Anolis sagrei: one gene and its partner. The protein of the gene in region 1 purifies or fractionates together with the protein of each later gene. This does not show direct contact. Links are inferred from orthologs where the notes say so. Each region holds a gene or a part of one and is shown on either strand. Other genes may lie near its edges.

The links. The genes of interacting proteins can lie anywhere in the genome.
Region 2: the proteins of STAT1 (region 1) and PIAS1 purify together in Homo sapiens (affinity purification with western blotting; 5 studies listed by BioGRID). This does not show direct contact. The link is inferred for Anolis sagrei from reciprocal best matches to the Homo sapiens genes STAT1 and PIAS1.

Annotation. Positions count from the first base shown.
Region 1 is NC_090021.1:182,696,515-182,703,461, reverse strand, and holds the start of STAT1 (signal transducer and activator of transcription 1-alpha/beta), read right to left. Parts: upstream 3,003-6,947; 5' UTR 2,899-3,002; intron 1-2,898. UniProt on the Homo sapiens protein: Signal transducer and transcription activator that mediates cellular responses to interferons (IFNs), cytokine KITLG/SCF and other cytokines and other growth factors.
Region 2 is NC_090029.1:24,240,732-24,247,596, forward strand, and holds the start of PIAS1 (E3 SUMO-protein ligase PIAS1), read right to left. Parts: upstream 3,003-6,865; 5' UTR 2,954-3,002; coding exon 2,930-2,953; intron 1-2,929. UniProt on the Homo sapiens protein: Functions as an E3-type small ubiquitin-like modifier (SUMO) ligase, stabilizing the interaction between UBE2I and the substrate, and as a SUMO-tethering factor. Catalyzes sumoylation of various proteins, such as CEBPB, MRE11, MTA1, PTK2 and PML.

The DNA.
Region 1 (6,947 bases):
TATATTTTAATATTATATTAATATTATAGTATTAAAATATAAACATTTATTATTATTATTATTATTATTATTATTATTATTATTATTGCCACAGGACTGTTTTGTTGTTTGTCTAGATTACAAAATTGATCCAGGATTACAATCACCCATGAAAAGAATAATTGACTCAGAAACATGCATCAGTAGTAGTATCTAACACAGTAGTATCTAACACAGTAGTATATAACACAGAATATCAAGGCAGAAAATTTCATGATATCTGCTTTAACTGGCATATCGGAGTCCACACTGCCATATATTCCAGTTCAATGTGGGATTTTATTCTTCTGTGTAGAAGGGGACTAAGCTCCAGCTCCTCATGCAGGGACATGAGAGAAGCTTCCTACAAGGATGCTAAAAACATCAAAACATCCAGGCATCCCCTGGGCAACGTCCTTGCAGACAGTCAATTTTCTACACCAGAAGCGACTTGCAGTTTCTCAAGTTGCTTCTGACATGACAATATATATATATATATAAATGGCAGGGAACAGAAAGTGGTCAAGACTATATATTCAGAGGTGGACATCGGAATAGATCTTGGGTTGATGTGAGTTTTCGGGGATATCTGGCCATGTTCCAGAAGCATTCCCTCCTGAAGTTTCACTCACATCTATGGTAGGCATCCTCAGAGGTTGAGGGTTCTGTTGGAAACTAGGCAAGTGAGGTTTATGTATCTGTGGAATAATGTCCAGGGTGGGAAAAAGAACTCTTGTCTGCTTGTGGTAAGTGTGAATGTTGCAACTGGCTACCTTGATTCACACTGAATGGCCCTGCAGTTTCAAAGTCTGGCTGCTTCCTGACTGGTGTATCCTTTGTTGGGAGGTGTTAGCTGGCTCTGATTGTTTCATATCTGGAATTCCAATTTTCTGGGTGTTTTCTGGATTCCCCTTGGCAGGAAGCAGCCAGGCATTGAAGCTGCAAGGCTATTAAATGCTAACCAAGATAGCCAATTGCAAGATTCACACTTGCCTCCAACAGACAAGAGTCCTTTCTCCCACCCTGGATATTCCACAGATATATAAACCCAACTTGCCTAGTTTCCAACAAACCTCGCAACCTCTGAGGATGCCAGCCATAGATGTACGCAAAATGTCAATAGGGAATGCTTCGGGAACATGGCCAAACAGCCTGGAAAAATGACAGCAACCAGTGATTCTGGCCATGAAAGCCTTTGGCAACACATGGAACAGTTCTTGCCAAGAGTAACCTGTTTTGAGATTATCCAAAGGTCTGGCTGCACTTGAAGGCAAATAACAAGAAAAGGGAAGGAGGGGAAAGACATATAGGTGGCACCTTTAAGATCAAATGATTCTTATCTGACACATGTCCTTCATGAATATCCAAAAAATCAGTCTTAAAGATTCTGCCGTGTACCAGTTGTTGTACTCCTCCCTTTCTCCTTTTAGGCTACTTCTCTGAAAACAATAACTGATGCTTTGACAAGGCTGCTCAACCCCAGAATGCCACACCTGCCATCTGCATGAAATATGAACATTAAAAATAAATGTACTCCAAAAAGTTGGATTTGGCAATTACATGCCCCTGGAACACAAGAAAGTAGAACATACGAAAGGCTGGGATAAGCAGGTAATCTTAAATGGGCGACCAGATGTCATGAAAAGACAGCTCTACAATGTATTGTCGAAGGCTTTCATGGCCGGAATCACTGGGTTGTTGTAGGTTTTTTGGGGCTATATGGCCATGTTCTAGAGGCATTCTCTCCTGACGTTTTGCCTGCATCTATGGCAAGCATCCTCAGAGGTCTCACTACCTCTGCGGATGCTTGCCATAGATGCAGGCGAAACGTCAGGAGAGAATGCCTCTAGAACATGGCCACATAGCCCAAAAACCCTACAACAACCCAGACATCTCTACATTCATTAAGAACTAACAGATCTCTGATGCCTCTGCAACACTCCATACAGCATACAGATTATCTGCTTTGAGCCTAGCTGCTTTGAACTGGATTACATGGCAATGTAGACTCAAATAATTCAGTTCAAAGCAGACAATGTGGATGATCTGCATTGATAACCTGGATTTCATATATCAGTGTAGATGGGACCAGGAGCCCCTTCCACACAGCTGAATAAAATCCCATATTATCTGCTTTGAACTGGAATATATGGCAGTGTAGACTCAGATAATCCAGTTCAAAGCAGACAATGTGGATGAACTGCACTGATAACTTGGATTTTATATATCAGTGTAGATGGGACCAGGAGCCCCTTCTACGCAGCTGAATACAATCCCATATTATCTGCTTTGAACTGGAATATATGGCAGTGTAGACTCAAATAATCCAGTTCAAAGCAGACAATGTGGATGACCTGCATTGATAACCTGGATTTTATGTATCAGTGTAGATGGGACCAGAAGCCCCTTCTACACAGCTGAATAAAGTCCCACATTATCTGCTTTGAACTGGGATATGTGGCAGTGTGGACTCAGATAACCCAGTTCAAAGAATATATTGTGGGATGTTTCTGTCTTGATATTCTGGGTTATGTAGCTGTATGGAAGGGCCCTGAGGGAAGTCTAAGGGCCCTTCCACACAGCCACATTATCTGCTTTGAACTGGGAGTGCATCTATACTGCAGGATGGATGCAGTTTGACTTCACTTTCCATGGCTCAAGGAATGCCTGGATTTGTAGTTTGGTGAGGCACCAGCACTCTTTGGCAGAGAAAGCTTTAGACCTTGCAAAACTACAACTCCCCTGATTCCAGAGAACTGAGCCTGGTCAGTTAGAGAAGTGCCAAACTGCATTATTTTTCTCCAGTGTAGATGCACCCCATAGCAATTAAAGGAGAGGGGATCCAATTGCATTAATTCAAAAGGTAGGTGCAGCACTCACCTCACAGTTTTCCCACTCCACAATCGGACACACAACCACAGCAGCACTGCCTCTCCTTTCCTTCCTTCTCTGCTTCTGTAGAAAACGAAACTGCCTCTGACCAGGAAATAGCAAACTGCGAGAGGCAGGCGACCAATCAAAAAGAGGCTGGCAGCTAGGCTCAACCAATCCGGAAAGACCGCCGCCTCTTGATGGAATACCGCTGTTCCTGCAACTTCTCCTCCTCCCTCTTCTGGCTTGTCATTGATGCAAACAGCAGAGTTGTCAGTTTAATTTAGTTTTATTACCTTTTTTTGGCCAAAATCCTTCCATCCGCGCCTGAAAACATAGACATTTATGGGTTGCTGTGAGTTTTCCAGGCTGTAAAGCCATGTTCCAGAAGCATTCTCTCCTGACGTTTCGCCTGCATCTAAAGCAGGCAACCTCAGATATTGTGAGGTCTGTTGGAAACTAGAACAAGTGATATATATCTGTGGAATAATGTCCAGGGTGTGCAGGACATTCCACAGATATATAAACCCCATTTTTCTAGTTTCCAACAGCCTTTGAGGATGCAGGTGAAACGTCAGGAGAGAATGCTTCTGGAACATGGCCTTACAGCCCAGAAAACTCACAGCAATCCACTTATTCTGGCCATGAAAGCCTTTGAGAATGAATACATTTATTTTTATTTCCAGGGTGGATTTCCCTTATGTTTAGTCAAAAATTACCATGATGAGGATTTCTTATATTGTAATATTATGTTAATATTATATTATTAAAATATAAACATTAATAATAACAACAACAACAACAACATGGGACCTTCAATGTCGCATGCATGGGAACAGATACAAAACAGCAACTTTCTGTTGGAATGCAACTCCCATGACTTCCATGATTCAATGCTATGGAGTCCTGGGGTCTGTAGATCTTGTAAAATTACAACTCTCGTGAATCCATAGTATTGCTCCATCATGGCAGTTAAAGTGATGTCAGAGTAGTATACACCCAACAACAACAACAACAACAACAACAACAGGATTTAAAGATCAAAGTGCAAAGACTCTGGCACAAGCCAGTCAAGGTGGTCCCAGTGGTGATCGGCACACTGGGTGCAGTGCCTTGGCCTGTGCTTAAACACAATTGGCGCCAATACATCACACAGTATTAGACACTTGGGAAGTGTCCGATAATAATAGGATTTAAAGATCAAAGTGCAAAGACTCTGGCACAAGCCAGTCAAGGTGGTCCCAGTGGTGATCGGCACACTGGGTGCAGTGCCTAAAGACCTTGGCCTGCACTTAAAAACAATTGGCGCCGATACATCACACAGTATAAAGACTCTGGCACAAGCCAGTCAAGGTGGTCCCAGTGGTGATTGGCACACTGGGTGCAGTGCCTAAAGACCTTGGCCTGCACTTAAATACAATCTGTGCCGATACATCACACAGTCCTAGACACTTGGGAAGTGTCCAACGTGTGATCCAATACAACAGCCAGCAGAGTGTCTGCTGTGCACTCATCTTGTTGTGTTTCAAATAAAATAACAACAACAATAACAACAACAACAACAAATCTGGGCTACCAAACAGCAAGAAATTCACCAAAAATGTCCCACTTGTTGTATATGGATGATCTACAGCTTTAAGGAAAATCAGAAATTGAGATCCAGTCACTGACCAACACAATCAGAATTGGCACACTGGGTGCAGTGCCTAAAGACCTTGGCCTGTGCTTAAACACAATTGGCGCTGACTAATAATAATAATAATTATAATAATTATAATAATAATTATTATTTATCTGCCTCTTCTTAAGGCTCGAACTCGCATTGAGGAGCTGTCAAGGTAAACATTTGCAAACCGCAACAAGTCTTCCTGGCCTGACAACAAAAATAATTCTCCTGATTTTCCTGGAAAGACAAAAAAAAAGCTAAGAGCGCGGGGGGGGGGGGGGGGAGAGCAGTGGCCGCAAGGGCAGGGGAGGGAGGTGGCGCGTTCCAGGGAACAGCCGCCGCCACGTGGTTTCTGGGAAACAGAGGCTTGTAGAGGAAAAGCCTCAGGCAGAGAAAGCGAAAGTTAAAAAGGATCCCCGGGAGGGGAGGGGGAGGGAGGGAGGATCCACCTGCAGATCTGGCTCGGAGGAAGCGGAAGGGTTCTAGGCTCAGGCTTCTAGGCTCAGGGCCCTTCCACACAGCCCTATACCCCAGAATATCAAGGCAGAAAATCCCACAATATCTGCTTTGGACTGGGTTATCTGATCCCACACTGCAATATAGTCCAGTTCAAAGCAGATAATGTGGGATTTTATTCAGCTGTGTGGAAGGGGCACCAGACAGGCCCTCTATCCCAGGATCTGATCCCAGGTTTTCTGCTTTAAACTGGATTATATGAGTCCACACTGCCAGATAATCTGGGATAAACTGAAAACCTGGGATCAGGTCCTGGGATAGAGGGCCTGTCTGGGAGGGCCTTAAGATATTGTAACCTTATATTAGAGAGTACCCATGAGTTTCCTTTTTAAAAAAAATATATTAAAATCTTCGGCTAGAGGGGCAATAATAATACCTTTATAAATAATGGTATTATTATTTTACTGACACAAAAATACAGTATGTCACAGCAAATGAGATCTATATCCTGGATTTCGTATCAAACACTTCCCAAGCGTCTAGGACTGTGTATTATTATTATTATTATTATTATTATTATTATTATTATTATTTGAAACAGTACAAGATGAGTCCACAGCGGACACTCTGCTGGCTGTTGTATTGGATCACACGTCGGACACTTCCCAAGTGTCTAGGACTGTGTGATGTATCGGCAAATAATGCGTGCAGATCCCAGTAAGGTGGCCTTCTGCAGCTGGCAGATGGTAATTTTGTCAGCATCAATTGTGTTTAAGTACAGGCTAAGGTCTTTAGGCACTGCACCCAATGTGCCGATCACCACTGGGACCACCTTGACTGGCTTGTGCCAGAGTCTTTGCAGTTCAATCTTTAAATCTTCATATTGTGTCAGCCTTTCCAGTTGCTTCTCTTAAATCCGGCTGTCGTCTGGGATTGCAACATCCACACTCTGTTTTGTAACATGATCGTGAGGTCAGGAGTCCTGTGCTCCAAAACTCTGTCTGAATTCAGAAGTCCCAAAAGCGTTTGGTGTGTTCATTTTCTATAACTTTTTTCCGGCCTGTGATTCCACCAGTTCTTTGTCACAGGCAGATGGTATTTGTGGCACAAGTTCGAATGAATCATCTACGCAACGGTGTTATGCCTCTACTTGTAGTGATCTTCTTGCATCAGCTGAAGATGTGATCTATTGTTTCCTCTGCTTCCTTGCAGAGTCTACACTTGGGATCTGTCGTTGACTTTATTATTATTATTATTATTATTATTATTATTATTAGAAATGCAACAAGATTTGTACACAGCAAACAAGATCGCTGGCTGTTGTATTATTATTATCATCATCATCATCATCATCATCATCATAGCCAATGCATCAGTGACTTAAGTCTTTCTAGCATAAATCTATTGTGTCCATGGGATAGGATTTGCACACAGGAGAAGCAAACAGTTCAATGATTACACTGTTTGGAAAAAAAATGAAAAATGTTCTGTTCTTGGTTTGAAAGCATTATTTCCTGTTTACTTGTGCAGAACTTACTTTGGGCTCTTCCACACCTCCATATAACCCAGAATATCAAGGCAGAAAATCCCACAATATCTGCTTTGAACTGGGTTATCAGAATCCACACTTCCATATATTCCAGCTCAAAGCAGATAATGGGGTTTTTTATTCAGCTGTGTGGAAGGGGGCTTTGAAAGTAGTTGCTATACCCGAGAAACTTCATTTTTGTGGCTGCCACAGACAATGTTGAATTGGCTGAGACCGTATGAGATATTCATTGGAAAACTATAGCAAAATGTACTGCAGGATGTCCTGCAAAAACAAATAACAAACCTTTTCCATGTTTTTTTTATCATAATTCCAATTAGGAAATAACATTTATAACCCAGGGAAAAAATTGTTACATTATGTGTCATTTTGCAAGGATGGAGCTGC
Region 2 (6,865 bases), on another chromosome or scaffold:
CCTCTCCTCATATGAACCTGTCCAGACACTGCATTCATCAAGTGAGACCCTCCTCTTGGCCTTCCAGCTGGTTGGGATGAGAGAAAGGGCCTCTCTGTAGTTGCCCTCACCTCTGAAACCCTCACCCAAAAGAGATCAGAATGACCCCCATGCTCCCCTCTTTCAAAAAACAACTAAAAGTTATCTATGCTCCCAGGTTTATGGAGAATCAAACATTTCAATATCTGGCTTTCTACACAATTAATGGTCTACAGATAGAGCTTTAATGAAAAATATGGTTTTTAATCTATCAACCTGGCTTTTAATCTTGCTTTTAATTGTTGCCGTGAATCATGTTTTGTTGATTTGTTATGATGTTTCATTATGATAAATTGTTTAATTATTTGTATTTTTAATTTATTATGTATTTGTATTTTGTTATGTATTTGTGTGGCATCGAATGGTTGCCATCTATGTTGTAAGCCACCCTGAGTCCCCAGAGGGAGATGGGATGGGATATAAATAAAGTTTGAAGATAATAATTATCATAGATTCACACAGGCCATCTAGTCCAACCCCCTGCCATGCATGAAAAGCACAAAGTACCCCTGACAGATGGCCACCCAGCATCTATTTAAAAGTTTCCAAGGAAGGAGCTTCCAGCAGACTCCATGACAGAGAGTTCCACTGATGAACAGCCCTTCTTACAATCAAGAAGTTCTTCCTCGTGTTCAGGTGGAATCTCCTTTCCTGTCATTTGAACTCATTACTCCACTGAGTCCTAGTCTCCGAGGCAGCAGAAAGGATGCCGGCTCCCTCCTCTCTTATGACATCCTTTCACATATTGATACATGGCTTTCATGTCTCCTCTCAACTTTCTCTTTTTTCAAACTAAACAAGACACCAGATATTTGATCATTTTGGTCACCCTCCTCTGGTGGGTGACCAAGCTTAGAGTCAATATTATTTATTTATTTATTTCTCGCATTTCTATCCCATCCTTCTCAACCCCTGAAGGTTGAGAAGGACGGCCCCATGGGGCCGACTCAGAACGGCCCCATTCCGAAGCGACTACATAACAAATTACAAAATTAAAACCACAATTAGACATAAAAGCATAAATAACAATACATAAGCCATTGTCAAAACAGTAAAACAGTCTCATCAGCCATATCATCATTCCAGGCACATTCCCTTAAAGTGCTGCTTGCATCTATTGTCCAAAAGCCTAGCCCCAAAACCATGCCTTTAATTTCTTACGAAAAGCTAGGAGGGAAGTGGCCGATCTTACCTCAGTTGAGAGTGTATTCCATAGGCGGGGGGCCACTGCTGAGAAGGCCCTGTCTCTCGTCCTCACCAGGCGCATTTGTGCTGTTGACGGGAGCGAGAGCAGGGCCTCCCCGGATGATCTTAGGTTTCGAGGAGGGACATAGGGGTGGATGCGTTCGAATAAGTAAGCTGGTTCAGAACCGTATAGAGCAGTGGTTCTCAACCTGGGGTCCCCAGATGTTTTTGGCCTACAATTCCAACAACTTCGCTTCTGGCCAGAGCGAAGACAGAAGGGAGCAGAAGACATTTCCATCTTGTATTTACTAATAATATAATATAGTATATTGTATATACATATAATATTTATAACATTATAATGTAATACAATATAATACTAGTAATAATAATTCAATATTATAATTATAATTATATATTTACATTACATGTAATATTACTAATAATATTACAATATAATGGTATAGTGCAATATAGCAATATATACTGATATTGTACTATGCTAATATAATATATTGTATGAAAATATATATTGTAAGCCACTCTGAGTCCCCTTCGGGGTGAGAAGGGCGGCATATAAATGCCGTAAATAAATAAATAAATAAAACTCCCAGAAATCCCAACCAGTTTATCATTGGTTAGGATTTCTGTGAGTTGAAGGCCAAAAACATCTGGGGACCCCAGGTTGAGAACCACTGGTATAGAGCTTTATAGGTCAAAACCAGCACTTTATTTATTTACTTACTTACTTACTTTGCTTGTATACCGCAGTTTCTCAGCCCGTAGGCGACTCAACGCGGTTCACAACAAGATCAAAAAGTCAGTCCAACAGCATAGTTTAAAAACCATTAACAGCATAGTATAAAAGTAATAACACATCAATAACAACACATTAACGTCTCGTAACTAGAATCGTAGTCCAATTCGTCATCCGTGATTCCGTTCCTATATTCATCGTATTCATTGCACTGTTTAACCGAATGCCTGTTTAACCTTTATCTCTTTTGAACTGTGGTGAACAGAATTGGACACAGAATTCCATGTGAGGTCTGACCAAAGCAGAATACAAAGGCACTAAGACTTCCCTTGATCTGGACCAGGCATGGGAAAACTTAGGAATTGTGGGAGTTGTAGTCCAAAACACTTGGAGGGTCGAATTTGCCCATGCCTGCTCTGGAGTATTAGTTGTTGTTCTTATTGCATTTGCGTCTCGCCTTGGTGCGGGAGAAAAGCGGGGTACAAATCGACTCAGATAAGTAAATAAATCAATATTGCCTGCCAGGGATCTATGAAGCCAGTTTCTGAAACGGGAGGAAATAGAGAATGCGTGTCCTACCTCGCAGGGCGGCAGGGAAGACCCTTCCTGAGGGAAACAGCTCCTTTGGGGGGCCAGGGGGGCCTCCTAGGGGTCTCCCTCCCATTTACAAAGCTCCTGAGGGAAGAGAAGGGAAGCTGCCCCTCCTGAACGCCTTTTCCTCCCTCAGCCGAACTCTCCTTTCTCCCTCTCAGGCCAGGAGGCCGGCGGAGGGTCGAGAGGAAGGGAAAGGCCCGAAGCCTGAGGGAAAGAACCGGAGAGAAAGAAGGGGAGAGGGGGAATCAAGCAGGGGGGACGAGGAGAAGGAAGCTGCGGGGGGAAAAGGGGGCCCCTTCCGAACTGCGCCTTTACCTTTAGTTCCGCACTGTCCGCCATCTTGAATCGCGGGGCGCATGCGCAGTGGGCTCCACCGAGAACCCCGCCCCCTCCGCCGCCTCGGCCTGCGCGCGCTGCGTTTGAATCGGCGCCGCCGCGCCTGCCGCCATTTTGTTTGGGTCCCGCCTCAAAGCGGGGTTGGGACCCGAGGCGGGAAAGGAGTCCCAACCCCCCCCCCCCCCCTCCGTCGCCCCGTAACCCAGACTTCTCGATATTGTACACATATTACATTCATTTTCCTCATAACCACGGTGAGGATGAAGTCAATGGCGTTTTGAAGGGGTGTTGAGGAGAACTTCAGGCTGGTTCTGGGAAGGCGCATGCGCAGAAAGAAGCGCGCCTAGCCACTGGATTCCAGGCTTGTGAAGGAAAAAGAGCCTCAAGTTGACTGTGATCCAGATAAAGGCCTCGCTTTTACCTCACCACATCCATGGAGAAGAGTCGGGACTGTCCTTTGGGAGTCTCTATATATATCTACATAAGCCAGAAATGGAAAAGAATAGCACAGGATCATATATGTCATGAGAAATGGTAGTTTTGCATGAAGCCAATGGGATTGTGGCCTGCATCAATAGGAGCATAGTGTCTAGATCTAGGGAAGTAATGCTACCCCTTTATTCCACTTTGGTTAGACCACACCTGGAATATTGTGTCCAATTCTGGGCACCACAATTCAAGAGAGATGATGACAAGCTGGAATGTATCCAGAGGAGTGCGACTAAAATGATCAAGGGTCTGGAGAACAAGCCCTATGAGGAGCGGCTTAAGGAACTGGGCATGTTTAGCCTGAAGAAGAGAAGGCTGAGAGGAGACATGATAGCCATGTATAAATATGTGAGAGGAAGCCACAGGGAGGAGGGACCAAGCTTGTTTTCTGCTTCCTTGGAGACTAGGACGCAGAACAATGGCTTCAAACTTCAAGAGAGGAGATTCCATTTGAACATGAGGAAGAACTTCCTGATGAGAGCTGTTCAGCAGTGGAACTCTCTGCCTCGGAGTGTGGTGGAGGCTCCTTCTTTGGAAGCTTTTAAACAGGCTGGGTGATTTGAATGCAATATTCCTGCTTCTTGGCAGGGGGTTGGACTGGATGGCCATGAGTTCCCTTCCAACTCTTTGATTCTATGATTCTAAGCCCATGGAATGGATCAACGACAAATCAGAATAGGAAAAATTGTTTGCCCACAGACTGCAAAAAAACAGTTGACTGTATTCAAGATAAAGACCTCAGTTTTACCTCCCCACATCCTTAGCGAAGAATCAGGACTGTCCTTTGGGAGTCTCTATATATGTCTATATAGGCCAGAAATGGAAAAGAATAGCATAGGATCATATATATTATGACAAATGGTAGATTTGCATGAGTGGATCCATCACAAATCGGAATCGGAAAAATGGACTCCTTTGAGGATTTGTGGAGCCCACAGACTGAAAAAAATAGTTGACTGTATTCAAGATAAAGGCCCCACTTTTACCTCACCACGGCCATGGCGAATAATCAGGACTGTCCTTTGGGAGTCTCTATATATGTCTATATAGGCCAGAAATGGAAAAGAATAGCATAAAATCATATATATTAAGACAAATGGTAGATTTGCATGAGTAGATCCACCACAAATCGGAATCGGAAAAATAGACTCCTTTGAGGATTTGTGGAGCCCACAGACTGCAAAAAAACAGTTGACTGTATTCAAGATAAAGGCCTCGCTTTTACCTCACCACAGCCATGGCAAAGAGTTTGGACTTTTACAAATAAAAATGTAATGTTCGTTTGTGATATTGACAGAACTCAAAAACCACTGGGGGAATTGACACCAAATTTGGACAGAACACAGCATTCAGAGCAATCTATGTTCTGCACTCAAAAAAAATCCTCCCAAAAAACAGCAAGACCTTAAATTTTAAAAGAGAACACTGTGCATGCATCCAAACGCATTATCTTCTCCCCCATCCCCGCCGCACGAGCACAGCCAGCTCGAGAGGCATCCCACAGCCATGGCAGAAAGAAGCGCCTCCCTCTCGCCTGCTCTGCGCCTGGCTCCGAGGATCCTTCCTTCCAGCACCCAGGCAAGAGGTAAAGCAGGGAAGGAAGGGAAGCAGCAAAGAAAGGAGAGAAAGAAAGAGGGAGGGAGAGAAAGAAAGCAGGAAAGAGAGAAGGAAGGATGGAAGCGAAGAGCAAAGGAAGGAAAGGGAGAGAAGGAAGAAAGGAGAGAAAGAAGGAAAATAAAAGAAAAGGAGGGAGGAAAGTGAGATGGAAAGGAAAAAAGGAAGGCATGAAGGAAAGAGGGAGAGAAGGAAGGAAGTTGAGAGAGAAAGAGGGAGGGAAGGTCGGCCACAGCACCTACTAACCCAAGGAGTTACCATCACTCAAAAAATTGAGTTTGTTATTTGGGAGTTGTAGTTCCTGGGATTTATAGTTCACCTATAATCAAAGAGCATTCTGAACTCCACCAACAATGGAACTGAACCAAACTTGGCACACAGAACTCCCATGACAACAGAAAATACTGAAAGGGTTTGGTGGGCATTGACCCTGAGTTTTGGAATTGTAGTTCACCTCCATCCAGAGAGCACTGTGGATTCAAATATTGATGGATCTGGACCAAACTTGGCATGAATGTTCCATAAGCCCAAATATGGACACAGATGGAGTTTGAGGGACATTGCCATTTGGGAGTTGTAGTTACTGAGATTTATAGTTCACCTACAATCAAAGATCATTCTGAACCCCACCAACGACAGAATTGGGGCAAACTTCCCACACGGAACCCCCATACTGAAGGCCATCCAGTCCAACTCCCTCCACCAGGTCAAGAAAACGTAATCAAAGCCCTCCTGACAAAGAGCCATCCAGCCATAGATTAGATAGATTCACACACAGAGAGATATAGTATAGATTTGAAAGGGACCCCTAAAGAAGGACAATTTCCATCTTGCATGTTCCAAAGTAGGCAAATCAGACAATCTCCACATCAACACTGACAAAGAAACAGCAAGAAATACTGTTGACCCACAAGCATAAAGACATTACATATATTAGAAACCAGCACTTTCTCATTACTTGATTTTCCAGGTCATCAGACGGCCACAACAATGCGTGGCAGGGGAGAGCTAGTATCTACATAAATAAAATGTAATGTTAGTTTGTGGGATTAACATAACTCAAAAACCACTGGATGAATTGACACCAAATCTGGACACAAGACACCTCTCATGCCAACAAGTGACCATCACTCATAAAAACACTGACAAACACAGTAGAAGGGACTTAAAAAGCCAAAAAACAAAATTTACATTGCAACGCATGCCAAAACCACATATACATACGTAAACACACATATACAAACATAAACACATATACATAGACTGGGCCACAGCAATGTGTGACAGGGGACGGCTAGTAGGAATATATGTGTGTGTGCTTATATATATATCGGCCAGAAATTGGAAGGAATTGCACAGGATCATATATATTTTGACAAATGGTAGATTTGTGTGAGCCCCAATGGAGTGGGTTGACAACAAATTAGATAAAGGAATAGGAAAACTCTGTCTGCTATGTTGATATGTGAAGCTGAGCTTATGGAAACATCGTTTTGTGGTTGCATTTCACCACAAAATATTTTAAAAGAAGAATACATTTCTGCGGAAACACTTCCCCAACATTTTATAGGCCATTATTTTGGTGTCACCTAAAATAATGGTAAAACTGAGGCCTCTATACTTTGAACGTATCGTGACACGAAGGTACTTAATGGAACTCATAGAAGATTGCACTGCAACTGGATGGATTCGGTCATAGGAGCCATGGCTGCTGAATTTGCAAGGTCTGAGCAGAACTGTTTTGCTGTCTTCCATATAGCATTCACATGACAGCAAATAATGACAACTGTTGATAAACTATTGTTATTTAAT